Linked DNA regions of Pelodiscus sinensis. The protein of the gene in region 1 purifies or fractionates together with the protein of each later gene. This does not show direct contact. Links are inferred from orthologs where the notes say so. Each region holds a gene or a part of one and is shown on either strand. Other genes may lie near its edges.

What was found. Proteins that work in one complex are often made in the same cells at the same time.
Region 2: the proteins of PPP2CA (region 1) and INTS2 purify together in Homo sapiens (affinity purification with mass spectrometry; 4 studies listed by BioGRID and IntAct, with this or other methods). This does not show direct contact. The link is inferred for Pelodiscus sinensis from reciprocal best matches to the Homo sapiens genes PPP2CA and INTS2.
Region 3: the proteins of PPP2CA (region 1) and AXIN1 purify together in Homo sapiens (affinity purification with western blotting; 4 studies listed by BioGRID and IntAct, with this or other methods). This does not show direct contact. The link is inferred for Pelodiscus sinensis from reciprocal best matches to the Homo sapiens genes PPP2CA and AXIN1.
Region 4: the proteins of PPP2CA (region 1) and TIPRL purify together in Homo sapiens (co-immunoprecipitation; 4 studies listed by BioGRID and IntAct, with this or other methods). This does not show direct contact. The link is inferred for Pelodiscus sinensis from reciprocal best matches to the Homo sapiens genes PPP2CA and TIPRL.

The regions. Positions count from the first base shown.
Region 1 is NC_134727.1:28,175,658-28,182,804, reverse strand, and holds the start of PPP2CA (serine/threonine-protein phosphatase 2A catalytic subunit alpha isoform), read left to right. Parts: upstream 1-4,129; 5' UTR 4,130-4,350; coding exon 4,351-4,452; intron 4,453-7,147. UniProt on the Homo sapiens protein: Catalytic subunit of protein phosphatase 2A (PP2A), a serine/threonine phosphatase involved in the regulation of a wide variety of enzymes, signal transduction pathways, and cellular events.
Region 2 is NC_134731.1:6,070,147-6,077,495, reverse strand, and holds the start of INTS2 (integrator complex subunit 2), read right to left. Parts: upstream 3,003-7,349; 5' UTR 2,904-3,002; coding exon 2,861-2,903; exon of another isoform or gene 2,800-2,860; intron 2,194-2,799; exon of another isoform or gene 1,872-2,193; intron 1,408-1,871; coding exon 1,101-1,407; intron 5-1,100; coding exon 1-4. UniProt on the Homo sapiens protein: Component of the integrator complex, a multiprotein complex that terminates RNA polymerase II (Pol II) transcription in the promoter-proximal region of genes.
Region 3 is NC_134726.1:4,493,987-4,501,826, reverse strand, and holds the start of AXIN1 (axin-1), read left to right. Parts: upstream 1-4,838; 5' UTR 4,839-4,945; exon of another isoform or gene 4,946-5,040; intron 5,041-5,157; exon of another isoform or gene 5,158-5,454; intron 5,455-5,523; exon of another isoform or gene 5,524-5,819; intron 5,820-7,464; 5' UTR 7,465-7,555; coding exon 7,556-7,840. UniProt on the Homo sapiens protein: Component of the beta-catenin destruction complex required for regulating CTNNB1 levels through phosphorylation and ubiquitination, and modulating Wnt-signaling.
Region 4 is NC_134711.1:149,454,643-149,462,389, forward strand, and holds the start of TIPRL (TIP41-like protein), read left to right. Parts: upstream 1-4,745; 5' UTR 4,746-4,876; coding exon 4,877-4,977; intron 4,978-7,747. UniProt on the Homo sapiens protein: May be a allosteric regulator of serine/threonine-protein phosphatase 2A (PP2A). Isoform 1 inhibits catalytic activity of the PP2A(D) core complex in vitro. The PP2A(C):TIPRL complex does not show phosphatase activity.

The DNA.
Region 1 (7,147 bases):
TATCAAACAGCAGTTCGGGGGCCGACTACACACTTGAGGTCCAAATAAAAAACAATCAAAACATGGATGTTGTTTTTAATTATTTATTTAATATTATTTTATTCAGTTATTATTTAATAACACATTGATACACTACACATGAACACCTGTATTAGTGTGAATGGTGAAATTGTTTCCTTGATGCCAAAATAGCAGACATTTCTGGCTTTAGATTTGTTGTCCCTAACATCAACAGTGACCTGAGATTATCATCGGACAAGTTTGTTCTCAAATTGTTCTTCACATATTTCATTCTTGAAAATGTTTGTTCACACAGGTATGTTGTTCCAAAGATTGAAAGGTACCTTGATGCAAAAGTTTTGACATTAGGAAAGTCTTCCTTGGGCAAAAACTGGTAAAAACCCACCAGTCCTATTTTGAACTTGTCCCTAAGGAGGTCATTTGCTTGCAACTCAATGACTTCCAGCTGCAGTTCATCTGGGCAACTGGCCACATCTGCTTCAAATGGGTTTTGAAACAATCTCACTTCTTCTGCCTTTGAATCCAAGTCAGAAAACCGCTGCTGAAACTGCAGCTGGAGGTCTTTGATGATCTCACATGCAAATGACGTGGGGAACTCAGCTGTTGCTTCAGCCATGAATACCTTGCACTGCTGAAAGTGCGTCAAGTTGTTGGCCTGTACTTGTTCCAAAAACAAGACAAGTTTGGATCTGAAGGCCTTTAGGTGGGTGTATAGATCAGAAACTAGATTTTGCTCTCCTTGTAGTTTTAGGTTCAGAAAATTTAAATGACTAGTTATGTCTGCAGCAAAAGCCAATTTCCATACCCACTCTTCATCAGACAGTAATGGCTGTGGCTTGCCTTTACTTTCCAGGAAGTCACCTATTTCCTTTCTTAACTTAAATACTCTGCTCAGAACTTTCTCACAACTTAGCCATCTTACTGCTGTGTAATATGGTAAATCTTGTGATTCTGTGTCTGTATCTTTCAACATGTCTCTGAACTGTCTATGGTTGAGCCCATGTGACCTTATTAAATTCACCATCTTCACCACAGGATTCAGTACACTGCTAATGTCCACATATTTAGCACACAAAGCTTGCTGGTGAATAATACAGTGCAGGAACATTGGTTGTATAATGTTTTTCTCATTACACATCTGCTTCACTTGTCCAACCAAGCCTTTCTTTATGCCACTCATGTTCTTTCCTCCATCAACAGTCAGGCAACTGAGGTTAGTCCAGTCCAAGTTATAATCAGCAAATGTTTTTTTCAACTCATTGAATATATCCTCTCCAGTAACAGTGCCATACATGCTATGTAGGGAAGCCAGCTCTTGTGTTATGTTCATGTCTTCATCCACACCTCTAATGAACACAAGCAGTTGAGAGGTGGAGCAGCTGTCCAGCGATTCATCCATTGCAATTGAAAAATGGCGAAACTTGCTTGCATTTTTCGCTATTTGAGTCACAATGTTTTCACCCATGTCTGCAACACGGCGGGCAATGGTATTCGCACCCAAAGCTACATTTTCAAATTGTTTTGACTTTTCTGGGCAAAGTTCCTCAGCCACTTCCAACAAACATTCCTTCACTACTTCACCATCTGTAAAGGGTTTGCCACTTTTAGCCAGGACGTAGGCAACTTTATAACTGGCCTTAGTTAAGGATTCATTTTCATTTGAGGATTTACTGAACAATGTCCTCTGAGATGTGAGTTGATTTTGTAATTTAGAAAATTTTTCGGCACGGACTTTACCCTTCAACTGTACATATTTCTCCTGATGTTTGCTTTGATGATGACGGCGCAGGTTGTATTCTTTCATCACAGCCACGGTTTCGTTGCAAATCACACACAATGCTTTCTCGCCGGATTTGATGAAGAAGTATTTCAAACTCCATTCTTCTTGAAATTGCCGACACTCATCGTCTATTTTTCTTTTCCTCTTCTCGGCCATCGCTGGGCACTAAAATAAAGTGAATTCAACATGAATAAATAATGAAACTGAAAGTATCTTGCACACAATATCGCTCAAAAAACCTGATTATGCGAACTAATTTTGTCGCAATAATAGCTGCAAATGACCCGAAACAATTTTTAAAAATTCTTATGATTTCTTAAGTTAAACTTACCTGAATATAGTGTGCAAATATATCCACTTATGGTAGAGAGATTGTTGCTTTTAATGTTTCCTCTTCAGAATATTCGCCTGCGAATCCGTTTCTCCCGGAAGGGGGGGGGGGCTTTTCCCCCTGCTCTCCCCTTCCTCTGCACGCTGTCCTCCCCTCCTGCTTGCCACCGCTCACTCCTTCCCCACCCCGGGCGGAAGGGGTCACCTTTTTAAAGTTCCCGCCGGGGTTCACGTTCCCCCGCACGTCGCCGGGCGGGCGTTACCACCACCGCCCATCCTGCCCCCTGATTGGCCGGCTGCCCTGTCAGTCTGGGCGGGGGAACGCCGCCCGTGCTAACCCCCGCCCCCTGCGCCGTTTGCCGCCGCGCGGCCACCTGTCAGAGGAGCGGCCCGCTTCTCCTGCCCCCTGATTGGCCGGCTGCCCTGTCAGTCTGGGCGGGGGAACGCCGCCCGTGCTAACCCCCGCCCCCTGCGCCGTTTGCTGCCGCGTGGCCGCTTGTCAGCGGAGCGGCCCGCTTCTCCTGCCCCGGCGTGGCGTGAGTACACGCCGCACACCCCTGACAGGGCCCCCCCCCGCGGCAAGAAGGGCCCGTTCGGCGGCACCCCAGGGACGGTCTCCACGGGCCGGATGAGAGGGCCTCGCGGGCCGCATCCGGCCCGCGGGCCGTAGTTTGGAGACCCCTGGGTTAATTGAATAGTCATTTAACCCCATGAATTCTTATCCATTACTTGACTATTCTATAGCCTCTGGGAGCGAGGACGGCAGCCAGTGCACTCTGGTTCCACTCCCAAGGAGCCCCCTGCCACTCCACACTGCTACCTCTGTATCCAAAGCAGCAATGCGGGGTGCTAGGCGGGAGCTGGTCCACAAGGGGAGCCAGTTTAAAAACCAGCTCCCTTAATGGATTGACTGCCTGTTGCCCTGCACTGCTGCCTGATACAGCCCCTATCCAGGTAGGTGTTTAAGCTCCCGGACCCGACATGAGCCAGAACTGAGCCAGGCTGCCTGCCCGCCTAGCTCCTAATACACTTTAAATGCAGAGCTACAGCAGGGGTAGGTCCCAGACCTGGCGCAAGTCGGGACTGAGCTGGGCTGCTGGCCAGCCTGCTAGAAAAAATGTACTGGGGAGGGAGGGGAGTGGAGAATGCGTGTATTCTATAGCATTAACCTATACACTTTTGCTTATTGGTTAATCAACTATACTATTACATCCCTAGGTGGGAGTAGTATTTTGCGGTGGGGGGGGGGGGAGAGGCTCACTGGAATGGGCATAGCGGGAGTATTATATTGGGCGGAGACGCTCCCTGGACTGTGGGTGGCAGGAGTATTGTATTGGGAAGGGAAGAAGCTCCCTGGAGTGGATGTGGCGGGAGTAGTGTGTTGGGGGAGAGAGGTCCCCTGGAGCTGGGGTGGCAGGAGTACTGTGTGGCGGGGGAGAGGCTCCCTGGAAGGGTGTGTGGCGGGAGTACTGTGGGGTGGGAGCTCTCTGGAGCAGGAGTGGCGGGAGTACTGTGTGTGTGGAGGTCTCTGGAGCGGGAGTGGCGGGAATACTATGGGTGGCGGGGGTGTGATGGGGTCCACAGAGCGAGGGGCAGCATCTGAAGCAGGCTCTGCAGCGGGCGTCTTATTACAACGCTCTGAACCTGCCCCCTCCTCACATTGCGCATGCTCTGATCGCTTCCAATCGCTCAGTTCAGACATCTTTCCCCCCCCTCGCTAGTTATTGGTGCTGCGCATGCGCCGCTGTCCCGCCATTCTCTTCCTTTTACTTCAGCCACTGCACATGCGCCCGTACATCGGTGCGAGCACTGCGCATGCGCTAATCCCGACATCGCTACGCCCTTTGTAAAGCAAGCATGCACTGATATTTCGGGCTTCCCCACTTGGCTACGAACATCACGCATGCGCCGCCTCTCCTCGGCCGGCCCCGCCCTCTTGTGGTAGGTATCACGCGCACGCGCTATGCTACCCCTCCCCCCTCCGAGGGGGAAGCAGAGCTGGTGACGTCAGGGCGCGGCGGCCATTACACGGAGGGGAGTGAAGAACGAGTGTAGAGCGCTAGAACTGCTGCCGGGAGCCGGGACCTAGCCGCGAGCGTCGGTTGCCGCCACCGCACCTGCCTGGGTGTCCGGTGAGGCCGCGGCCTGGAGCGGGTCGTAGGGGTGGCAGAGCCGAGCGGTAGCGGCAGGAGCCGGGGAGGGGAGCGCGAGCGGGCGGCATGGAGGAGAAGGTCTTCACCAAGGAGCTCGACCAGTGGGTGGAGCAGCTCAACGAGTGCAAGCAGCTGTCCGAGGGGCAGGTGAAGAGCCTCTGCGAGAAGGTACGGGGGGCCCGCGGCCGGGGGGAGCTGGGGCGAGGCCTGGGCAGGGGAGTCCGGGCTGGGGGCGGGCGGCGGAAGCGCCTCTGACAGGGTGAGGAGAGGGGGCTGGGGAAGGGGCCTGTGGCGGGGGGGGGGCTCCCCGCGGAGCAGCCCCTGCGTGAGGAGCGCGAAGAAGAAGCGGGGGGTGGCCGTGGCCGCATCTCCTCGGGCGGGCCCGGTTTTTCCCCCCTAGCGCCCCGGCGGGTCTGTCACCCCGCGGAGATAGCGGGTCCTACAGCGCCGAGCCGGGGGTAGCCTCCTCCCGGGCAGCTCTGCGCCCCCTGCCGCTCCGCTAGGAGACCGACTCCTTCGGCTGCTGTTCGTTGCCTCCTAAAATGGCGCCTCTCGCAGGGAATCTGCGGGGCGAAGAGACCCTTGTGAGCACCAGCCGTGCTCGGCGCTCGGGGTGTCGCTCCCGGTGTCACCTCCTAGTTCCTCCGTGCGAGAGAGGTAGAAAGGCAAATCTGTAAGGCAGCGTCCAAACGCCCACCCTCCTCCCTCCAATGCCCCAGCCCCGCTTCTCATAAAAGGGGGGAGGGTTGAAAATAGCGGTGGCAGTTGTATGAGACGCAGATGGGAGTGTAGTGGCCACAGATTTATGTCTGCTATGTTAGGATGCCACTACTAGTGTCAGACCCAATCTGTAATTGCTGCCCTGTTGGAAGACTTGAACAAAATGCCATCCCCCTTGGCACAGTTAATGCATGTTTGTTTTTCTTGTAAAGTCCACCAAAATGGCAGGAATTAAAAGTGGAAATTTCATTTTAAGGTGGTAGTGTAGGAATTCCTCTCCATAAAAGTAATTTGGAATTGGAATTTTTTGACTGCCATTGCATTACATTTTTTTTTAACTTTGATGTGTTTGGAACAGCCTTTAAATTGTAATTGGGAATTAGATTAATTTAGGGTATTGGTTTCTCCTTGTAGGCATTTCTAAATATAGCCAGGTAATATGAAGTTTTACTTTGTGTAGTTATGGATGGTGAGGTTTGGCTATTACCTGTCTCGGTGGTCATTCCTCATGGTTTTCCTGAGTTTAGAGGAGCCCTGTAGAATTTAGACAGAATGAATAATAATTTGATACTGTAGTAAAATAAAAGTGGGTAAGTTGATTTAATGGTTGCACAAGTACATTTTCGTTACAATTTTTATAAAGCTGTTATAGTTATCTCTTACATTTTATTTTCACTTCAGATTGTGACTTAATGTCTAAAGATGAAAATTTTAAGGGAAAAAAAGAATTTGCTCTACATAAACTAGTCTATTTGCAGTATAGCATGCTAAATGGCTTTCTGACTTATTGTCACTAAAATCCTAGACATTTGCAAATAGGTAAATGGAGACATGCACCATGATAAGATCACTTGGGGCCATGAATGATGCAGCATTCTCATTCTTGTGTTTTAGAAACAATTTCTGTGTAGGCCACAGTACCTCTCCTCCTTTCATACCAATCTGTGTTTCCACAAATAGCATTTTAATGTGGAATACTGATCAAGTATGTTGACTTGAAAGTTTTTGTGGCATAGCATAGGGGTGTGCATTTAACTATAGTGTGGGGAGAATATTTGTGGAGTGTTTTAAGGAATTCAGGTGGCAAAGTTGAAACATTACTGTTGTACACCTGATGTAAATACTCTTAATTTTTATCATTAATACTGAAGAGCCTGATTTGAGGTGTCTGGAGTCACTACAGTGTGTTTGAACCTGCTACTTTCTGAATTCTTTGTAATCTTGATCAGTCACTTGAAAAGTACTTCAGTACAGTATTTCTCAACCTAGGATATGTGGACCCTATGGGGGAAGAGTCACCCTCCCCCCAAGAGTACCCCAGAAGTTCTGCAGGCCTCACTGATCATCAGCTCTTCTCATTCAACAACTCCTGCAATCTAGAAGTTTGGCTGTACAGCAGGGCTGCAGCAGGAGGCTACTTCCTCACTTGTGGAAATGTGCAGGATGGGCATGTTCCTGCAGGACTGTGGAGGGGAGGAATGTGTCCGTGCACTGCCTCCTGTCCTAAGCGCAAACTCCACAGCTCCCATTGGCCAGAGAGGGAATGGACTCAGTCTTGCAGTATCTGAATTTAGACCTGTTGCTTCCAGATGGAATTCACAACCCTGAGTTAAATGCACAGGTTTTCCTGTGTGAAGCATGGGGAATACTATGTACCTAAGAATAGAATCCATTGAAGCCAGCAAGTTGAGTATAGAAAATGCCAAGGGGAGGGCTATGGTGTGTAGCCCACTGAGAGTTAGGTGCCCAGCTCCATTTGAGGTTCACAGTTATGGAATCCTCTCCTGGGATTAAACACCTATAGCCCTTTATTGCTTCCTCCCCCAACAGAAAAACCCTGTTATAACCTTTATCCCAGTGGTTAGTTCACTGAGGATGTGGTACACATAGGTTCAAAACTCCTTATCTGATGTGGAGTAGATATTTGAACCAGTCTCTCTCCTCTCAGCACCATGCTGTAGCCATTGGGTTAAATGGTACTCCATGGTTGGTATTTCAGTATCTCGTGCTGAAGTTGTTCCACTATATATAAATTTGGCTTTTAGAGAGAGTGAAAATGATTATAGCTTAGTGGGCAGGTCATTATCCTGGTGGATGGAAGATGAAGTTCAAATCCATACTACAAATCAGAAGAAGGAATTGA
Region 2 (7,349 bases), on another chromosome or scaffold:
GTGTCTAACAAATACATTACAAGGCAAAAACAGATGTTTAAAGAAAAATAAGGCACAGAAATTAGTAGCATTTCTTGTTAGTCTGTTCTTATACCATGCTCGTCACCGTAGTATCTGAGCACTTTAAATATTAAAGCAAGAACAGCAATCTACACTTGTTTTGCTGGTTCTACGAAACTTTCTTGATAACTTTACTAGTGGCCGCAGAAAACTATCATGATTTTGATATTTTCAAATAGCAAAAAAAAAAAAAAAAAAAAAAAAAAAAAAAAAAAAAACACATGACAAAAGCTTATGCACACTCAAATAGGTGTCTCTATCCCATTATTATCAAACATTTATATTGGTGTCCCCTTTCACACAGCAAGTGTCTGAGTGGGACAGCCTTTATAAATTAAAAAGGTTTCTTTTTATATTTAGCACTATTATAACTGCTGGAGGTTGAAGCTGTGTTTGGGGTAGAGACTGAGAGCTTGTGACCCCCTCATTTAATAACCTCCTATACAATGTTCCCTCTAGTTTTTTCCCCTCCAAGCACAGAATAAATGTTATGTGCATGGAGGCATGTGTTGATGTATGCCACCAGTAGAAACACAAGCTGCTGGCTGTGGGCAGCATTTGAATCTCTCTTTGGTGGCCGCCCAAGCACTCAGCTTACAGGGAACACTGCTCCTGATCCCTCCATGTCATGACTCCCAGTTTGAGAATCCCTGCTCCATTCCCATACAATACACAGACCACAGCCAAAGACTAGTGCATCCTTATAGTTCCAAGGGTTAATCCTTCTGGTAAAATGTGACTAGATAGCACTTCCTTTGAAGAGCATCAGTGCCCCCTTGCATAGCTATGGTGGTGGAGGAAGGGCACTGAGTCACTGAAAAAAAGCAATAAATTCCATATCCTTCCCTGCATGCTGTCCTATCAAGCCCAAGATACAAGAAACACGCATGGGATGTGAAACAATAATGTAGCAAAATGCCAAGTAACCAGGCCAACAGGATTCACTACTGTTATTACATTCTGGAAGAAGATGGCAACATTCAGATGAAATATTCATACATACACATTTCTAAATCATATTAAAAATGGGTTTTAGCTACCTAAGCTGTTGCTCTTTGTTTGCATCCTGCTCCAAGGCATGAAAATCCACAGACAACAAGGCAACAATTGAGTTGACAGCTTCCACTCCTGAAAGGAGTCGAAGGATAAGTTTTTTATCCTGAGCCCAGCTTTGGCTCTGATCAGCTGGGGCACAAAGGGCCATTCGCACCAGGCAAGGCAACAAAAGCCTTAACTCTGGGTCACTTAGTGCTGCCAAGCGCACAACATCCACCTTCTGCATTGCTTCAAATGCGTAGGGGCTGACAAACTGAAGGCCAGAACACTCTGCCATTTTTACCACCTGTCCTAAAGACAAAATAAAAACACAATTATCATCAGAAGAGACAGATTGCATCACAGCTTTTGACAGCTCTAAGCTGGTAAATGTGGTCTAGCAATTAAAACACAAGACTAGGAGTCAGGATTACCAGTTCTGCTCCTATCTGAGACATCTGGGTCATGCCTCCCATTAAAGAGGGAGACTGCATCAGGACTCCTACTTTCTATTTGCAGCTCTGGGAGGGGAGGAAGGTCTAGTAACCAGGACTTCCAGGTGCTATTTTCAACTGTCACTAAGTGCTCATAAGAAGTTAAGGTTGTGAGCATCTCCAAGATGCTTTGAGATACTGGGACACCAGGTGTCCAGAAAGGGACACATCTCCAACACAGCCAAGAAACCCTTGGGATCCAAAGCAATGATTTATTATAACTGCATTCATGTCCGCCACTTCTATTACAGCTCCCACCAACGGCCTACTCCGCCTCCTCACCTCAGAGCCAAAAAGAGCAAAGGATGGTGGTGCCAGGGTTGTGAAAGGGGAAGGTACACGAGACAAGAACAGGGCCAGGACCGTGTTGCAGGGGTTGATCTGCTCGTGGCCCTGCACTGAAAGCAGAACCCAGGCACCCAGTTTTGAACCGTCCTCCTTCCAGACTGAAACAGGACCCAGGCAGTAGGTCCTGGGGCCAGGCGGGGAGAGAGAGAGAAAAGCTCTGACAGCCTCAGTTCCCCCAGGACCCCAGCATCTGGCACCATGGAGGGCTCTAACAACCCCTCCCCCACTCAGGACCCGGGGTGCAGCCCCTCGAGGGGGGCTCTAACAACCCCTCCCCCACTCAGGACCCGGGGTGCAGCCACTCGAGGGGGGCTCTAACAACCCCCCCCACTCAGGACCCGGGGTGCAGCCCCTCGAGGGGGGCTCTAACAACCCCCCCCCACTCAGGACCCGGGGTGCAGCCCCTCGAGGGGGGCTCTAACGACCCCCCCCACTCAGGACCCGGGGTGCAGCCCCTCGAGGGGGGCTCTAACGACCCCCCCCACTCAGGACCCGGGGTGCAGCCCCTCGAGGGGGGCTCTAACGACCCCCCCCCCCACTCAGGACCCGGGGTGCAGCCCCTCGAGGGGGGCTCTAACGACCCCCCCCACTCAGGACCCGGGGTGCAGCCCCTCGAGGGGGGCTCTAACAACCCCCCCACTCAGGACCCGGGGTGCAGCCCCTCGAGGGGGGGCTCTAACGACCCCCCCCACTCAGGACCCGGGGTGCAGCCCCTCGAGGGGGGGCTCTAACAACCCCCCCCACTCAGGACCCGGGGTGCAGCCCCTCGAGGGGGGGCTCTAACGACCCCCCCCCACTCAGGACCCAGGGATCCGAGGCTTCCAGGGAGAGTCGGGGCAGAGGATCCAGGACTCTCACTAACCTGGGACCCGTCCCTCCCCCCGAGACCGGCAGCGGCTCCGCCCCGCCCACGCCGCCGCTACCTTGCGGCCGGGGCAGCAGGCACCCGTCCCCTATTGATGACATCACACCCGTCAGCCCCCTGATGACGCCGTCAAAGGCTTCTAGGAACGTTCGGGCGTGGGAGGAGCAATGGGCGGGACAACCGACAGGCCAACCGGACGTGACGTCAGGAACGGCCGTCGCTCGGGTGGAGCTGCTTGCGCGGGGGAGGGAAGCCGTGGTTGACGTCAGCAGAAGGCGTTGGCGGCCTTCCGCCTCAGAGGGGGGGGGGCGAAAAGGAGAATAGCGTCTGACGTTCGGAATAGCGTCAACGGCGGCGCGGTGACGTTTCGGGACGAGCCAGGCGTGAGCCGGCCTCAGGCGGCCCCTGGGGCCGAGAGTGACGTGCCGCGGAGCCAGGGACCCGGCCGCTGTGGGCCTCCCCGCCCCTCCCCCGCCCGCTGGAACCTTGTGCCGCCCCCTCCCCCCAAGCTACGGATCATATTCAGCGGGGGGGGAGGGGGCGCTTCGTCTTGTAACGGTCAGAAAGCGCGAGTGGGCCGCTGGCCCCTTCAGGCCTGTCTACGCGAACCCCTCCCCCCCCATTCGAACTAGCAGCGCCGGGAGTAACGACTTCAACTGCGGCTGAGAGCCCACAGGACGCGTCTTCTCAGAGCGCTTCTTTCGAAAGAGCGCGCCCAGCCAGGCAAGAGCCGCTCTCGCGGGAGCGCGCCTGGGCCAGCTGGATGCTCGTTCCAAAAAGCCCTGGTTGCATTCAAGGCCTTTTCAACACCAAAAAAAAAAAAGGCTTCGTTCTTCCTAAAATGAGGTTTGCTGCTGCCGAAAAACAATCCCACTGCATCTGTTATTTAGTGTCGGGAGAAGGCCACGGCAGGCTAAACAACAGCGACTTTTTTTTTTTAAATAGCCTTAAAGTCGGTCCGGTTACAGCCAAAAGCAGCAGGAGTAGAGATTGAGAGAATAGGGTTGGTAAGACGGAGACACCGCTTATTTCCAAATAACTCCCGAATGTAGCCAGGGGCTTGGAAACTAACCAAAATACATGTGGAGAGAAGCATGAGCTTTCATTTATATATGTGTATACACACAGTATCGATACAGTTTTGGTTGTAAGGTAGCACAGGACTACTCGTTTAAAAAAAAATACAGACTAACATGCAAATCCCTGAGACTTTATAACTTTTTTTTTTTTTTTTTTTAAATATAGAGAGAGAAGCATGGATAAAATCCAGCTAGTAACTAAGATGTAGCAGAAAAAAACACCACCTGTAAATTGTAGGACTGGTGCTAATTAGGCTAATCAAGTGGGTTGGAAGTGTCCAATTCTAAGCTTATGATGTAAAAACCCAGTCGTTAAAAGCTTTGGGAGACTAGTGTTAGAAGTGCACAATGACAGCTCAGGTACGGGTGCAGGAAGGTTATAAGTATCCTAAAAGCTTACCATAGATCATTCACTTTATACAGCTTGGCTATGTCTAGACTGGAATGATTTTCCACAAATGCTTTTAACTGAAAAGTTTTCCATTAAAAGCATTTGCGGAAAAGAGTGTCTAGACTGGCATGGACGCTTTTCCGCAAAAGCATTTTTTGCGGAAAAGTGTCCATGCCAATCTAGACGCGGTTTTGCACAAGAAAGCCCCGATCACCATTTTCATCATCGGGGCTTTTTTGCACAAAACAGTTTTTAGCTGTCTACACTGGCCCTCTTGTGCAAAAACATTTCCGGAAAAGGGTTTTTGCCCGAATGGGAACGTTGAAGCATTTGCGGAAGCAGCACTGATTTCGGACAGTAGAACATCAGTGCTTTTGCGCAAAATCAAGCGGCCAGTGTAGACAGTTTAGACGCAGCCCTTTAGAGGGGTAGCCCTCTTAATCTGCATCCACAAACACAACAAGGAAGCCTGTGAAGACCAATATTTCTTTAGGCATAAAGATGGGTCTTTGCCCAAGAAAGCTTGTTGGAGTGCAGCTAATGAAATGGGGTTTTGCCCACAAAAGCTTGTGCCCAAAGAAATCTGTTAATCTTTGGATATCACAGCATTCCTTGGTTTTGTTAATACAGTTTTCAATCTTTACTATGCAAAAAAGCTACATTTTTCTAACTTTTACTTTAAACGAAAAGCATAGAAACAGCTTCCTTATCAAGTTTTAAAAAATTATTTCCCAGTAGTTTTCTAGTAATTTATATTTAACCAGCGGGGGGGGGGGGGGGGGGGGGGGGGGAGGAAGAGGCGGGGAGAGGGGAGTATCTGCTGCTACCTGATTGCATATCTCTGGTTCCAAACAAGGGGTGTGGTTGATGGGTTAGTTTGTAATTCTGAAGGTCCTAACCCTGAGGTTTTTGTGTATTTTGTGTCTATGCTACATTGCAAAAATGCTTTTATTTTAGTCATCTTCAATAAGCTACAACTCCTTCCTGTTGTAGAGAGAGCAGTGTTCCCTATAAGCTAGATACACATGTGGCAACTCAGGAGAGATTGAAATGCCACTCAGCTCATTAGAGTACAGTTTGGCTGCATCTAGACTGGCAAGTTTTTCTGCAAAAACGGTGGCTTTTGTGCAAAAACTTGCCAGCTGTCTACGCTGGCCGCTTGATTTTGCACAAAAGCACTGAAGTTCTATGGTCCGAAATCAGTGCTTCTTGCGCAAATGCTTCGACGTTCCCATTCGGGCAAAAGCCCTTTTCCGGAAATGTTTTTGCACAAGAGGGCCAGTGTAGACAGCTAAAAACTGTTTTGTGCAAAAAAGCCCTGATGACGAAAATGGCGATCGGGGCTTTCTTGTGCAAAACCGTGTCTAGATTTTGTGGAAAAGTGTCCGTGCCAATCTAGACGCTCTTTTCCGCAAATGCTTTTAACGGAAAAACTTTTCCGTTAAAAGCATTTGCGGAAAATCACACAGTCTAGACGTAGCCCATGTGTTTCTAGTAGCAATTCACAGATACATCTTGGTGCACATAAAAAATGTATTCTATATATTAATGGGAAAAATCCTGTACATGAGTGGAAAAGGTTGGAGGGAACACTGAGAGAGGATCGTACAGTTGAGTGTTGGAAATAAAGAGAGACGCCACAATCAAGGCTTCATGAATAATTTATTCCATTTGAATTTTTTTTTTTAAAAGTATAAACTTTTTTCATTTCCTCAATCACAATTTGTACAACTCAGTGTTTATGGCATTCGGCAGCAATAGTGTTTGTTCCTTATTTGATTTTATGTCATATTAAATAAGACGACTTGGACCATTAAACGTCACTGCTGAGCAAAACCTTAAAAACTTCCCTTAAAGTGACCCAGCTATTTTGAGAAGATTTATGAAATTGACATGTCCAGTAATGATGCCACAATTTGCAATTTAAATCCAATAGCTTTTCAAGGTCCTCAAATCCAGTTTATTTGGAAAACCTAAAGCTATATTAAAACTTCCTGAAAAAGTGACCCTGAGGATTATTGTAGGTCCCAAATCCAGTTTTACTGTAAATGAAGTTTCACTCAATTGAAAATAAAGTACACCCACATATAAGATTTTCTAAATATCAGACATAGATCTATATCTTTCAATTAAGATGAAAGTAATTAATTTTTCACTTTAGAATTTCTGTCAAGATAGTTTGTCATATAATTTAACTTTGAGAAACTGAGTTCTTAGAGGAAACCCAGGCCAAAATATTGTTTCATGTACAATTACATGGATAATATTAACAGACTGATATGCTATGCCATAGACTGTTGTGCAGCAAATTAAATGGTGCAATAGCATTTAAAACTTTTTCATCTATTAAATTTGAATGTTTTTAAATAATGCAACATAATATTGATAGTACAGTATTAACAAATAGTGCTTGATTAAAGACATCTGCAAATCTTTGTAGCAACACATGAAGTTAAGTCACCATGGAAGATAAATAAAGATTAAAAGAATATAGTAATAATCTGTGCCATATTGACAGCTGAGTAAGAATATAGCTGAAGATTTTAATGATAACTTTAATTTTAGCCATTTCAGAAAATGTTAGAAAGTTTTAAAATGTACAAGCTACTTTAAAAGGCAAGGATTTTATGCAAGTACACTTGGCGGCCTACTGGCCAAACAATATGTACATGAATCTAATTCATACCGTGTTAAGTCCAGATGACAACGGCTTGCATAAAGAAAGTATGGCTAGATTTTTTTTTTGACTGGCATGTATATAATTATAATTTGAAATCCCAAAATACTTAATAGGTGAACTTCCACAAAATGCTACTAAACTGAGAGCTGCACAGACCAACACTAGGAACAAGCATTTTGAGATGTTGCCACCCAAACTGTCAATGATCTGTATAAACTCTGTTATTAAGCTTGCACCTTCTGTTCAAATCTGCTGTTAACTGGCTGTGACAATATAACTGTTAGAAAGTAGTCAAGTGGAAGGGTTAATCATTAAAGGAATTTGATTCATAAGATGGAAGTTACTTATTTAGAAGTAAGCTAAATATGGTAATTAGCTCCTTGGTGCTGGCAGTTTT
Region 3 (7,840 bases), on another chromosome or scaffold:
TGTACAGTCGCTTTTCAGAGAAGCGTTGCATTTTAAACAGGAAAAGCTCTATTCAGCTGCGATTACCTGGTAGAGCAAATCTCTCCCGGCTAACACCCCCACACCCACATGTATGAGTAATAGGCACAGAGCTGCCTTTCTGTGCAGAACTCTTCCTGAGCCTGGAAACATTACACATTTAAATGTGGTAACATTTAACTAGAGCTGGCAAGCGATTAAAAAAAGTGTGATTAATTGTGCTGTTAAAACAATAATAAAATACCATTTACTTAAACAGGTTTGGATGCTTTCTACACTTTCAAATATATTGATTTGCATTACAACACAGAGTACAAAGTGTAAAGTGCTCACGTTTGTTTTTTAGAGTGCAAATATTGTAATTAAAAACATATAGTATTTTCAGTTAATCTAATTCAAGTATAGTAGTGCAATCTCTTTATCCTGAAAATTGAACTTACACATCTATAATTGTGGACAAAAAAAAACTGCACTCAAGAACAAAACAATATAAAACTCCAGTCCACTGAGGCCTACTTCTTGTTCAACCACTTGTTCAGGCAAACAACTTTATTTACATTTGCAGGAGATAATGCTGCCCTCTTCTTGTCACCTCAAAGAAAGAACAGGCGTTCACATAGCACTGCTACAGTCGGCAGCACAATGTATGCCAGAGGTGCTAAAGATTCATATGTCCCTTCATGCTTCAACTGCCATTCTAGGGGACATTTGTCCATGCTGATAATAGGTTCCGCTTGATAAAGATCCCAAGCAGTGCAGGCTGACTTTCATTTTCATCATGTGAGTCAGATGCCATCCCATTGTTACCATCTCTGCGTTTTGTCAAATCTGCAGGGAAAATGTTTTTAAAATGAACATGTGCTGCGTCATCATCCAAGACTGCGCTAATGTGAACTATATAGCAGGAGACATGTCATTCTCCCCCAAGAAGTTTTGTCTCAAATGTTAACACTCTTTTTTTAAACAAGTGTTGTCAGCATGGAAGCATGCCCTCTAAAATGGTGGCCAAAGCATGAAGGGACATACGAATATTTAACATATCTGGCACATAAACATCTTGCAATAGCAGCTACAATAGTGACATGCAAATACCTGTTCTCACTTTCAAGAAACATTGTAAATAGGTGGGCACCTTTATAGAATCATAGAACACGAGAACTTTGAAGGGACCTCCAGAGATCATCAATCTAGTACCCTGCCCTCATGGCAGGACCAAACACGGTCAAGACCATCTCTTATAGATGTCTACCCAACCCTGCTCTTAAATATCTCCAGTGATGGAGATTCCACAACCCCCCTAGGCAATTTATTCCAGTGTTTCACCACCATGACAAGTAGGAAGTTTTTCCTAATGTCCAACCTAAACCTCCCTTGCTGTAGTTTAAGTCCACTGCTTCTTGTCTTATCATCAGAGGCCAAGGAGAAAAATTTTCCTCCCTCCTTCTTGTAAGATCCTTCCATAACTGAAAAAAAAGCTTGTTTATCTTAGAAATTGGCTGAACAAGAAGTAGGAACAAGTGGACTGGTAAACTCTAAAGTTTTACTTTGTTTTGGAGTGCAGTTATTTAACAAAAATGTCAACATCTGTAAATTGCACTTTCATGATAGCCTGCACCATTGTATTCATGAGGCGAATTTAAAAATACTATTATCATTTTTCTAGTACAAGTATTTGCAATCAAAATAATAGAAAGGGAGCACTGTACACTTTCCATTCTGGGTTGTAACAGAAATAAATATATTTGAAAATGTAGAAAAACATCCAAAATGTTTAATTTCAGTTGGTATTCAATGGTTCAATAGTGTGATTAAAGCTGCAATTTTTGAGCTAATGTGTGAGTTAACTGATTTGTTGACAGCCCTATATTTAACCATTAGGTTTTTTTTAAAAAAACAGTCTATATCTAGGTAGAACATGATTCCAATTATGCCCCTCTCAGAGTTATAGTGCATGTTGCTTTTCACATGGCTCCCCGAAAATGCCACTTCTTGGTGAGAACGTATGTCGACTCCAGCTGCAGAATATATTTAATCTGACTAGGGAAACCGGAGACCACAGGTCTCAAACTCCCAGCCTGCAGGCCATCCTCAGCCAGAGCAGTTGTGCAATATGGTGTAGTATGCCTGGTGGGGGACCTGTCCATTACTGCCCCAAGCCCTGCCCCTTCCCACTATTGCCCATCCTCTCCCCGCTCCATGGCACCCCATCCCTCAAGGATGCGGCTTCAGGGATCATGGGGAGGAGGGTGCCTGGTGTTGCAGTGGGCATGCTCCTTATACTACCTGCGAGTGCGTTTGACCAGTGTGCCCCACTTCCCCTGCTACTCCTGCTGCTGCAGGGAGTGAGGGGGGCCCATCCACTGCTACTGAGCCACACCAGGCCCCCTCCCTCCATAATCCCTGAAGCCCCATCCTCCAGGATGGGGTGCCATGGGTGGAGTGAGGAGTGATGGCATGAAGGGGCGGGGCTTGGGGGCCCGTAATGGACAATCCCCCTCCCCAGTCTGCCAGAGTCCCAGGCTGGATTGTGCAATTGCTCCAGCCAGAGATGTCCCATGGGCTGGGAACTTGAGACCCCTGCCAGAGACTAGACTGTCTGTTTTTTAACCAGGTGTAGCTGTTTGAGCTGAAAAGAGTGACTGATAAGACAAGTATCCCCTCCTCCACTGACACACATGTAAGGCTTGGACTATTTTTCAGGCAGACACATGGTATTAAACTGTGTTGCCTACTGAACTTTGGGAATCTGATAAGACCTCCTTCTCCAGCTTCAGCTCTGGAATCAGAGAGGTTTCTGGAGAATGAGGCTTTCCCTGGGCACTGCTCTGGTTGGCACCTTTCCAAGGGATCCTTCTTGGCTGAGGTTCTTCTGATCAGAGCCACTAGGAGAAAAAGAACAGGACTATTCTACACCCTCCCCCACCCTTGGGATCTGAGTCACCCCAGCATCAGCACATCAGCTGAGTCACTGGCGCCCCTTTCAGGGGCTGAAGGGAACCCACCTGCTGTCTGAGCCAATCACAGCCTCTGATTGTTTTACTCCCCCCTGTTCCCAGCATGCCGAGCAGGATCCTGCGCTGGAACTAGGTGCTATATGAGAACTGACTCATTAGGGAGCAGCTACTTGATAAGGCAGGTGGTGGTGGAGGGAAGGCAGGCAGCTCATCCTGCCCTAACTTTGTTATGGAGAGCGGTAACTGGGGTAGCTGGCATCCTCATTCCATGGTCCACCCCCAGGCTCCTAAGCCTATTGAATTTTTTTTTGAGTTTTATTATTAATTTGAAGGAACAAGCTACCAAACAAATAAAGGGAAAGAAAAGGAAAAACCCAGCTAATTGGGGTCAGAGCTGACGGACCCAGGCTGTCCACTGGCTCCTTTGTGGGGACAGGGATCTTGCCCGCTGTCCACAAAGTCCATCTTCTTCCTCTTTGATTTGTGAAGCCTGAGAGCTGAATCTCACCCCAACAGCCAAGTGGGAACCTGTCCCTGCTCTATTTTAAGGTGTACTGAAATGTATTAAAATGGATAAGTACCGTTTGACACGACATTGAAGCCGATACTGACTGCCTGGTATGCTTCAGGCAGGAGAAATGTACACAAGAGAAAAATCACAGATGTGAAGGGAAATGTCCCTTCAAATAAAGCCTTGTCCCTTGTTTTTCACAGGGTTTTTCCCTTACTGCAATCAGCAAAGATGATCGCTCTGTTCGGGTCTCCCACCAGGGCTGGGTTGGATGAAGGCTCTCCAGGCCTTTGGGAACAGCCCCACAATTGGCCCCTGTGGCCCCATTTGCGCACTTGACGTGGCAGTGCCCTCAGTTCCACGCTTGGAGAGGCAGGTACAGCAGCACGGAGCCCACTTCTTGCCTAGAAGCAGCAGCAAGTTTTCCTCCCTTTTGTGAGCAACAGGTTTCTCCTGTTCTTGTCCCAGCACCTGAAGTGGGTGGGCCAAGCCCCTCAGAGCAGGGGGGCTCACACTGCGGGGTGCACAGACCATAATCCCCTCCTCAGAGTTATTGAGTCAGGCTCCCTGCAGACTCTGGCATCCGTGACGCTTCTGCCCTGTTTTCAAACAATTCCACCCAGGCAGGCTAGACGTACAGGCTACATCTACATTGGCAAGATTTTGCGCAAATACTTTTAACGCAAGAGTTTTTGCGTTAAAGTATTTGAGCAAGAGAGCGTTTACACTGGCATGTGTTTTTGCGCAAGAGATGTGCTTTTGCGCAAAAGCATCCGTGCCAGTATAGACGCTCTCTTGCGCAAGAAAGCTCCGATGGCCATTTTAGCCATCGGGGTTTATTGCGCAAGAAAAGCATGTTGCCTGTCTACACTGGCCTCTTGCGCAAGAACAGTTGCGCAAGAGGAGGCCTTTTTCCTGAGCGGGAGCATCATAGTTCTTGCGCAAGAAGCACTGATTTCACACATTAGAAGTCAGTGTTCTTGCACAAGAACTCCCCGCCAGTGTAGAGAGGCAGCATGTTTTTGCGTAAAAGCGCTCGCTTTTGCGCAAAATCATGCCAATGTAGACACAACCTAACTGTTTGTGTCTACTAAAACAGAGATTGTGAGATTACCAGGACTCCAGGAGCTAGGGCCTAGCATTAGCTTTTGTGCCTCTGCCTCAGTCCCACCAGGGCTTTCCTCTGCCACACCGCAGAAGTGTTTGCAGTTGGAGCCAAGGTACCAACTTGGGTCTCTGAGGCTGTGGCCTTCCCTTTCCCCCCTTCCCTGGTCCCTCCTGACTCCCAGGACCTAGGACTGGAGGCGGGAGGAAAGAGTTGGAGCCTGTTCCTTATCAGGAGCCAGGCGTGTGCAGCAGCTGCAGAGGTAGCTAATGGGAAGCCGGGGATGGAGCCGAGCGCGCTGGTGGCGTTTCTCCCTGCAGGCTGCTGCGGGGACACGCTCGGGTTGCCTGTCTGAAGGTGCCTGTGGCCGCGGAGATGGGGACGGGGGGGTTTGATGCCGCTTAGAAGATCCCCGCCCCGGGAGCTGGCCCAGGTCCGCGGCTCGCCGAGAGGCAGGTTTTGCGTTTTCCGGGCACAGTTCGGACGTTTCCGCGTCTTCCCAGCGCCGGGGAACCGGAGCGGGCTCGGCCGGGCTCCCCGCCGCGCTGCAGGCGCCCGCTCCTCCTCAGCCGCCGGGGCCCTGCTGCGCCCCCCGGCTCGGGCTCCCGGCCCCGCGGCGGGCTCGGGCTCTCCCGCAGTACCGGGCGGAGGCGCGGGGGGCGCGGCGGAGCCGGTCTCTCCCGGCTGGGCTGAGCCGTGCGGGGCTCGCCGCTCTCCGTGTCGCCGCCAGAGCCCGCGGCCGCGGCCATGGGGGTCCCGGGCCGCCCGCCTTGCGCTGCTCCCCGGCGGCCGCCGCCCGCGCTCCCCGCCTGCCGCCGCGGCTGAGCCGCATGGGCCGGGCCCCGCGCCGCGGCTGCTCCGAGCGGGTGAGCGAGCGGAGCCAGGCCCAGGCCGAGCCGGGAGGCCGCCCCATTGTGGGGCCGCCGGGACGGGCCGCCGCTAGGCCGCTGGGGCCGGGCCGGGCGTGCGGGGGGCCGGGCTCCGGGGGTCCCGGGCCCCGCGTCCTGCCGGCTCAGGCGGAGCCGCGGCTGCTGTCAGCGCCCGGCCGGGGAGCCGGGAGGCAGCGGCCGCCCCTCGGGAGCCCCGATCCGCGCAGGGGGAGGTGACAGGCTGGAAATCCCGCGCCGGGCCCTCAGGCGGCGCGTGTGTCCCCGCGGCGTGGGCCGGGGCGCCCTGGCCTGGCGAGTCGCACCCGGGCCTGGCCCGCGCCTCGGAGCAAAATGGCTTGTGGGTCAGTGCGGGCGAGCGAGGCAACGCGCTGGGAAAGGGGGCGACGTTTCACGGGGGGCCGGGGACTCGCGGGTCCGTGTGGTGGGGCTCGGATGAACCCCGGGGCCTGGCTGCTCTCGTAGGGACGAGAAACGCACCGCGAACGGGGCAGAGGGCGGAATGATTGGATCCGAAATTGCAGGTGTTCAGGCAAACCTCAGCATAGCGCGCGTGTGTGTTTTGGCCCAGTAGCTGTGCTGAGTAACTGTATCTCTTGGCCTCAGGATCACAAAGCCAGTTGAAACCCACAGTTACCTGGGAATTAAAATCACTCAGCCTGGTTGTTTCCCATGTTGTCTTGTTTTGTGATGATGCGCAAACTGTCGGGTGTCTTGAAGGCCAGGAAGGGCACCTTCTAGCTGTATTTGTTCAGCTCGGGGAAAGTTGTCCAAAAGATGCATTGGTTTGTGTGGGCTTTGCTTTGTGAGAGTGGCTTTTATTTCACAATTATTTCCCTTGGTATATTTTCACATGCAGTTGAGTTAGTCCATTTAAAGAAGTGCTCTGTGAGACAGCTGCAGCTTTACAGCATTCAGGTTTTTTATCCGAGGGGGAGCCGTGTTAGTCTGAATCTGCAAAAGCGGCGAGGAGTCCTGTGGCACCTTTCGTGGGCAAAGACCACTTCGTCAGATGCATGACTCACATGCATCTGACGAAGTGGGTCTTTGTCCACAAAAGCTTATGCTCCTACACTTCAGTTAGTCGATAAGGTGCCACAGGATTCCTCGCCACTTTTGCAGGTTTTTTAGTTGACCCAGAATTATTTTGTAACACTCAACTTTTGTTAGTGTCTTGAAAGAATTTAGGTTATATTGATTTAGTACACAAGTAGGTACCAGAGGTTGTACAACTCTACTCCTGTCTCCAGACATACCTTTTTTTTTGCACCATGTTGGTTCAAATTACTTTTTTAAATATTGTTTGATTATTTCTTCTCAGGTGGTGGCTAGGACTGTTCTCAGGGTCAGCAGCAAATAATGTTTGTTAGCTTATGTGAAACTTCAGTAAATAGCTCCTGCTCCATGAAGTATGATGATATATTCAATAGTGCTGTGCCATACACACAATTTTTACATTATGTTCCTTTATTACAGGAGTGTCATTGAGAAATATGCAAAATATTCTGGGAATGATGATGCTTTTAATTTCACTAAGGGATATTATTCACTTACCCTAATTAATGCTCAAAATGCTTTTCAAGTGCTGAGGTGATGTCAAAATGTGCCAAGGACTGGAGGGGAATTTCATAGTGTGTAATGGTGATTGTATTGGAACGTATATGGCTTGATTACATTATATTCTTGATTTTTAGTGCTAATTGGGAGTATTTTCAGAGAATTTTTTCATACTCTGAAAGAAATTCCAAAATTGTTATGGAGATGTGAATTTACCTAGTATTTAGCTATGTAAAACTACTGCTTATTTTATGAGTTTAGGATATACATGTTAAAATTCAAGTAAATCTCCTCTTTATGAAATATATAAATCCTTTTAGGATTGTTTGTTTCAGTACCTCTGTAATAGAAATATTGGCGTGCTCTAAAAATAGTCACGTTAGAATTTTTGTCTGCAGTATTTTTAATTTTGTTCTCGTTTTGTTTCAACAGGACAAACACATTCACTCTGGAACTCCTGATACTGGTGTTTTGAGGCTTAGCCTGGTCCCTCCTTGTTTCTGTGCAAGCAGGCACCATAAAAATGAATATCCACGGGAAAGGCTTCCCTTTGGATCTTGGGGGAAGCTTCACCGAAGATGCTCCAAGGCCACCGGTCCCTGGTGAGGAGGGTGAGCTAGTTTCTACGGATCCAAGGCCAATCAGCCATGGCTTCTATTCTGGGAAAAGTGACGTGATTAAAAATGAGACTTCTACAGCAACCCCAAGGCGCTCTGATTTGGATTTGGGGTACGAGCCTGAAGGGAGTGCTTCTCCGACTCCACCCTACTTGAGATGGGCCGAGTCGCTGCACTCCTTGTTGGATGAT
Region 4 (7,747 bases), on another chromosome or scaffold:
GTCAGACAATGGATTTTTACTCAGTGTGCAGCTTCATAGGTCATTTACATTCCCTCACTCAGGTCTTAAATTCTCAAAGATTATTTCCCTGTGGTTTCCCATTCCCCTACACTTGGGGTTCTGGGTGTTAGCTCAGTGGGGAGAGGGAGGAAAAGATTGGGGTGAACACCACAGAACTGAAGCCTCACACCTTGGCACTTTCTACAGGCCTGAAGTATGCCTCCTGCTGGTTTGAAAATGTTTACCAGAGCTCTGCTAGAGTGGGCTCTGATGAATTTGAGCCCTGCACTCATCCCATGCATTTCCTAGGAAACCTACTCAATTAACAGTTTACACTGTTTCAAAAAGTTCTTTAATGTTCCTAACAGCAATAAACACAGTCCAGAAACCCTCTGAGGAGAATATGGGGTTGATCCCCAAGGAATAAATAGTTAAACCAGCTGACTGTATACAATGTTATTGTGCTATAAAATGTCAAATAAGGTCTTTTATGAAAGCTTGTAGTGTAATGTCCCTATGTTTTATGTAAGTCACATCTTTCCAGGAGTTACATACAATCCCACAGTAACACATACAGGCAGTCCCCGGGTTACGTACAAGATAGGGACTGTAGGTTTGTTCTTAAGTTGAATTTGTATGTAAGTCAGAACTGGTACATATTGTACCCCAGGTGTCCCCGATTCAGCGCTGCTGAAACTGACCAGCGGCTGACTACAGGAAGCCCGAGGCAGAGCTGCTTTGCCCCGGGCTTCCTCGAATCAGCTGCTGGTCAGTTTCAGCAGCAGCTGACTTGGGGACACCTGGGGTAGAGCAGCTGGGGTGCTGCCAGGTTGGTCCCCGCAGCGCCGAGGTGCGGTGCTGCGGGGACCAACCCGGCAGCGCCCCAGCTGCTCTGTCCCAGGCGTCCAGATTCAGCCACTGTTGAAACTGATCAGCAGCGGCTGAATCGGACACGCCTGGGGCAGAGCAGCTGGGGTGCTGCTGGGTTGGTCCAGTAGCGCCGCACCTCGGCGCTGTGGGACCAACCTGGCAGCCCCCCAGCTGCTCTACCCCAGGCTTCCTGATTTAGCCGCTGCAGAAACTGACCAGCGGCGAGAAAAGCCTGGTCTGCTGGGGAGTGGGGCACACTAGCTGCGTCCCCCCCCCCCCCAGCCGACCAGGGAGACGCGGGCGGCGGGACCGCTGAGACGCGCCACGGTCCCGCCGCCTGCGTCCTCCGCGGCTTTGCTCCGCGTCTCCCTGGTCTGCTGAGGGAGCCCCCCCAGCAGACTAGGGAGACGCAGAGCGGCTTTTCTCGCCGCGGGGTTCCCTCACCCCATTCGTAAGTAGGGATCCGACATAAGTCGGATCCACGTAACCCGGGGACTGCCTGTAATTGCATTTGTAATACAATGGATCTCAGAAGTATTGCATTTAGCTCAGTACAGTTTAATACATTGCAGAAGAGGACACTCCCCACTATTATAGCAACACTTCTCTAGTTTGGTGCATTCCCACCCTCAATAGATGGAAACAGAGGTAGAAAGAGGGTCAAATTGCAACTTCAGCTACATCAATTGTGCAGCTGAAGTCGAAATAGCTTAACTCAGCGTTTGGTGCTGTCTACACAGCAGGAAGTTGAAAGAAGAACACTCTCCCTTCAGCTTCCCTTACCCCATGTGAAATGAGGGTTACAGGAGTCGGAGTAAGAAGTCCTCCAGCTTGACATTATTTTGAAATACAGGCTTGTAGTGTAGACATGCTCCTTGTTATTTTGGAATAACATCAGTTATTCCAAAATAATGTTGTTGTGTAGACGTACCCATAGTGAAATTCATGTTTAGTGTATCTGCCATCCCCATTTCTGTGACTCAGGAATCGTTTGTTGCAAATTGGTAAAGGGCATAGAAGATACATAGGAGTTTACGGGGATCCCATAGATGACTGGTGCTTCCCCATAATGGGGGGACACTAGCTAAGGGGGAAGACATGCGACCATCCCATGTGTCTCTCCTTCAGTGACTCCCCTCCCACTTTGTGTTACCCAGCCCCATGCCACATGAGGGTGAGGATTCTATGTCCTTCTTTCTCCTGCACCTCTCTCCCACCGCATTTGCTACTTTCTCTGCCCTTGGCAGTTGGGCAGAAATCAGGACACAGCTGTTTCTGCCTAAAAGGGACTGAATGGAAGGTGAGAGAGAGAGAGAGAGAGAGAGAGAGTGTGTGTGTGTGTGGTTGTGCCCACAAAAGCTCATGATACCATCTACATGTTTTGTTAGTCTCTAAGGCTCATCTAAACTACATCCTCTTCCGAAAGAGGAATGTAAATGAGGCTGATCAAACATGCAAATGAAGTGCAGATTTACCAATCTTGTGCTTCATTTGCATAATTGCGGGCGAGCGCTTTTTCGAAAAAGGGTTTTTCGAAAAAGAAACTTCAGTCTAGAAGGAATTCTTTAAAAAAAAACCAACCCTTTTTTGAAAGAGCCTGTACTCCTGAAAAAATGAGGTGTATGGGCTTTTTTGAAAAAGGGCTTTTTTATTGAAAGAACCCCATCTCAACTGCGCTTTGTTTTTTGAAAAACCCTTTTTCGAAAAAGCATTCTCCCACTATTATGCAAATGAAGCACAAGATTTGTAAATCTGCACTTCATTTACATTTTCAGTCGGGCTCATTTACATTTCTCTTTCAGAAGAGGAATTTAGTTTAGACGAGCCCTAAGGTGCAGCAGGACCATTCGTTGTTTTTTAACATTTTTATGTATGTGAGAGTGAGCCTCCAAATCAGACTCTCTTATGCAGAAGCAGCTGACAAATGTGTTGTTTAGTTGGGATAATAATGCTTCCTTTTCTGGCTGATCATATGTTTCACAGTGTAAATCGAATTGCATTACTTAACCTGATGCTAATGAAGATGATGACTTCACGTAAGATCAACAAGAAATGTTTTATCCCAAAACAGCATGTTTCTATGAGTAAAGACAATAAATATTGGGAGTATAATGGGAATATTATGATATACCTGAATCCTTCACCAAGGAGACAAAACTGTCAGGATGTTTAGCCTTACAAAAGGAGGGTGACAACCAATGTTCCCTCTAATCTTTTCTATGTGTTGATTATTTCCATCCATGTGCAGAATACATTTTTATGTGTATCAAGGCATTTGCGAATAGGGTTGCCAGATGGTTTAACAAAAAATACCGTACCACCCAAAAAAACCTGGGAAGAAATTCCGTTAAGAAAAAAAAAACAGCAAAAGTTGTTGAGCAAAAAGAAAAAAAAAAGGGATTGAGTAGGGCCGAAATACAGTCGCGGCCCTTTAGTTCCCAGCCTGCTCCATCCTCCCCTTGCCCCAGCCAGCCCAAGCTGTGCTGCGTGTCCCAACCACCCTTCCACAGACACCTGAGCTGGGAAAAACAGAAAATGTTCTGAATTTTTTTACTGGATGGAAGGCGCAAATACCGGTGGCTGTCCAATTCAGTACCGGACACCTGGCAACCCTATGTGTGAAGGTGTACCACTAGCAGAAGCAAAATCCTAGATGTGGGAAATCTGCTAATCAGCTGGAGAGCATTTGAAGCTCTCTTTGAGTGGCTGCACAGGCGCACAGCTTACAGAGAATATTGGTGCCAGCCAACATGGCTGAAAAACACTGAAGACTTCATTAAACAATACAGTATCCTGATTGGGGGGGGGGAAGGGGGAGAGTAGGGTGTCCAATTCCATCCTGAAGCCCTTCCCCCTCCTGCCATCCCCTTGCCATCTCCTCTCCCTGTCACTCTGTTCCCTGAGGACTGGGCCTCAGGGATTACTTGGGGAGCCTCGCACAGGGTGGTCCCCCAGCAGTAGGGTCCCCCTGCACTCCCTTTTTGAAGGCAGACAATTGTAGAACAATTGTAGAACAATCAGAAGTGTTAAACTGAATGTAAAGAAATGAAACCAAGATAGGAACATAGTAGGGGTATCAATAACAGTAAACACTGTGATTGGGATCATTACAGTGTTTCCGAGCATTAAAATTCTGAAAATATAGAATACAGACATAACAATATTTAGTATATTTCAGAAATACAAATTGCAGTTTTTTTTCAATGATTGATGGCAGTGGTAAGCTTCAAATTTGTTTAAAATTGTAAATACAGGGCATCTCTGCTATTAGTTCGCCCCATATATATCCGTTTCATACTTAAATCGTGTGCAACACAAACCAAACAACCACAAACAAAAACCCCAACCAATTTGTGCAAATGGAAGTCAGCTGCAGGAGAAAAAAAATCACCACTTTGGGTGTAAGTCCAAGTTTTTTGGAACAGAACTTGGACTTGTAGCGAGGACAGCCGGTACATCAATACAATGTGTTCAACTCCTGTCTACAGCTATCAGGGGGTAGGGAAACTAAAGTTTAGCGTTTCATTTTAATTGTGGAAAACACTGGTTTTTATGAGCAGCTAATGCTGGGGTTCTGCAGTCCCGGGCCAGTAGGCTGTGTGGGGTGCCTGTTGTCACACCCAGCCGCGCCTTTCCAACGCTTTGACCGGCCCCTTCTCAACTCCCTCGTGCTCTGCTAAGGAAACGCCTCCCCGTGCCGGACCCACAGGCAGAGGCGCTGTGGTGGAAAGGGAGGGGCGGCGGCTCTGCGAACGCAGGGACTGCGGGAAGGGCGGAGCGCGCCTGTGTTCCCCGCCCCTCCAGGCCCCGCCCCCTCGAATCCCCGCTGCGCCTGCGCGCGTTTCTCGTGACGCTGGATGACTCTACCCCCAGGCCAGTCGGTGACCCCGGAAGCGGAAGTGCAGGACGGCGGGGAGTGCGGATTCCGGTTCCGGCGGCGCTGGTGCCGCTGCTGGGGGGAGCCCAGCAACCGCCTCTTCTCCCACCTCCTCCTCCCGGCCCCGCCATGCTCCCCGTGTTCCAGAGCAGCCGCCGCGAGTTCACCTTCGGGCCTTGGAAACTCAGCGCCGCCCAGACCCACATCATGAAATCTGCCCAGGCCGAGAGGTGGGGGCGGGCTGCGGGCCGGCGGGGGTTGGGCTGCCTGCGCCCGCTCTACGGGCTGCGGCCGGGCGGGCGCCCGTGGACGCTCTGAGTTGTCAGCCTGAGGTTTGAGCCCGGGTCTGACTCGGGTCAGCAGGCCCCCGGGATTTGGGCGCTAACGTCTGGGCTCCTGCCCTGTCATTCCGCAGTGTGGATACAGCTTAAACCACAACCCATGTGCGGTCTGTGGAGAGCAGCTTGGATGCAATAGCACAGGTGTCGGACCTCGGGCCAGCGATTGTAAATCTAGGTGTTTGACGCCATGTAACGGTTGCTCAGACATGAGCTTGGAAACATTAAGGCTAAACTAGAGACCTTATATAATGGCACAGCTGTACCGCTTTGTCTCCTGTGTAGCTAGCTATGATGATAGAAGGGCTTAATTAAACTGACCCCCCGCCCCCAAGCACCGGGAGCTAGGGATGTAAAATCCTGTTCAATAAGTTAACCAGTTAAACATTAAGCTGCTGTTACCTGGTATGCATCACCTGTTAAGGGTGATGCTTACTGGGTAGTTGGTTAACCAGTTACTGCATCCTGCTGGGGATGAGAAATGGTGTCACCAGTAGGGATGCAAAAGTATAACCATTTAAATGGCTAGCCCATAAGCCTGGTGTTAGCAGTTAATATTAACAGTTATATGCAGGCTCCCACCTTGCTCCTGGGGAACCGGCTGCCACCCTGCACTACTGGCTCTAGCAGTTATACAACTACCCACTTTTTAACATCCCTAGTTGGCAGGAGAGGCTCTACCCAATGACATAGCACTTGCTGTATCAGTGCTTTTGTGGATTAAATGTATGTTGGTGGGGGTATGTGTGTTCCACACTCCTGACCAATAAAACTTGTACTGATAAAAGTGTTAGTGTAGACATAGTCTGAGTCCATAACCATTGGGCCTTCAGACCTGGGTTTACTACATAGTGTAGGCAAAAACCTTGGCAAAACCCAGCTATCTTCTCAAGAGCCACAGCAAAGAGCACTACTAATAAAAGGGAACCCCAATAAATGTAAAGTGCATATTGCCACCATTTGGGGTCAAGAATTTCTTTTGCATCCTTTGTCTGATGTTGTGGGTCATCTTTTTGTTTGAGAGGTAGGGATGTGGTGTTTTTCTTCTTCTTCCCAAGGACATTTATTGTGGACTCTTCAGCTCATGTTTTCTTACCAAATGGACCACATGCCTTTTCAGATGTGGCAACAATTTCTGTTTCTATAAAGCAGTAGGAGAAACTGCTTCCTTCAGACTTGACTATTGTTTGTTTGAAACCTGAATGTTAAACTAAATATAAATAGTTCAGATACTAACAGTAATATTTGAGTTTGTTTACAAGCAACTTTTTTTTGATAGTTTGTTATCTCTGGATCTCATATCCTATAGTAAATTAAATCTGTCATACTTCAGCTATTTTAAGTCTCACCAATATAGGACTTTCAGATTGTTGCATTAATTTTTGTGAGATTCATTTGCTTATCATAAACTTATTTTGGAAGGTACTCTTTGTATAAGTCTGCCTTTTATTCAAATGTTTGTAAAGTCCTGAATAGACTTTTAAATTAAAAATGTCATTTTATTGAATTGCATTCCATAGCAAAGTGTATGATAAACATGAGGAGATGAAATCATAAGGTTATGACATTATTTACCAAACTATCTGGGAGTCATAGTCATACAGCCAGATCGCATGGTGTTTGTTGTGAGCTGCACAAACACAGTGCAATTCTACTCTTAGGAGCATTTTTTGCACTCACTTTTTTCTCATTCTATCTGTGCCTGATGTGTCTATTTACAATTACAGACCGGTAAATTTACCAGGTAAATTAGTTGAAACTATAGCAAAGAATAAAATCATCAGACACATAGATGCACATAATTTGTTGAGGGAAAGTCAACATGGTTTCTAAAAAGGGAAATCATTCTTTACTAATCTACAAGAGTTATTTGAGGGGGGCCAACAAATATGTGGACAAGGGGGATACAGTAGATATAGTGTACTTAGATTTCTGGAAAGCCTTTGACAAGATCCCTCACCAAAGGCTCTTAAGTAAAGTAAGTTGTCATGGGACAAGAGGAAATGTCCTCTCATGGAGTGAAAACTGGTTAAAAGACAGGAAACAAAGGGTAGGAATAAATAGTCAGTTTTCAGAATGGGGAGGGGTAACTAGTGATATCCCCCAAAGGTCCGTACTGGGACCAATGCTATTTAACCTATTTATAAATGATCTGGAAAAAGGGGTAAACAGTGAGGTGGCAAAATTTGTAGGTGATGCTAAACTGCTCAAGATAGTTAAGAACAAAGCAGATTAACAAAGCAGACTGTAAAGAGCTCTCACCAAACTAAGTCAGTGGGCAACAAAATGGCAAATGTAATTTAATGCTGGTAAATGTAAAGTAATGCACATTGGAAAAAATAATCCAAACTATACATACAAAATTATGAGGACTGATTTAGATATAACAACTCAGGATAGAGATCTCGGAGTCATTTGTGGATAGTTCTCTGAAAACATCCGCTCAATGTGCAGCAGCAGTCAAAAATGCAAACAATGTTAGGAATAATTAAAAAGGGATAGAGACTAAGAGAATATCTTATTGCTTCCATAAAAAACTATGGTACACCCATATCTTGAAGACTGTACAGCTGCAGTTACCTCATAAAAATATATTGGCATTGGAAAAGGTTCAAAAAAGGGCAATACAAATGATTAGGGGTTGGAACAGGTCCCACATGAA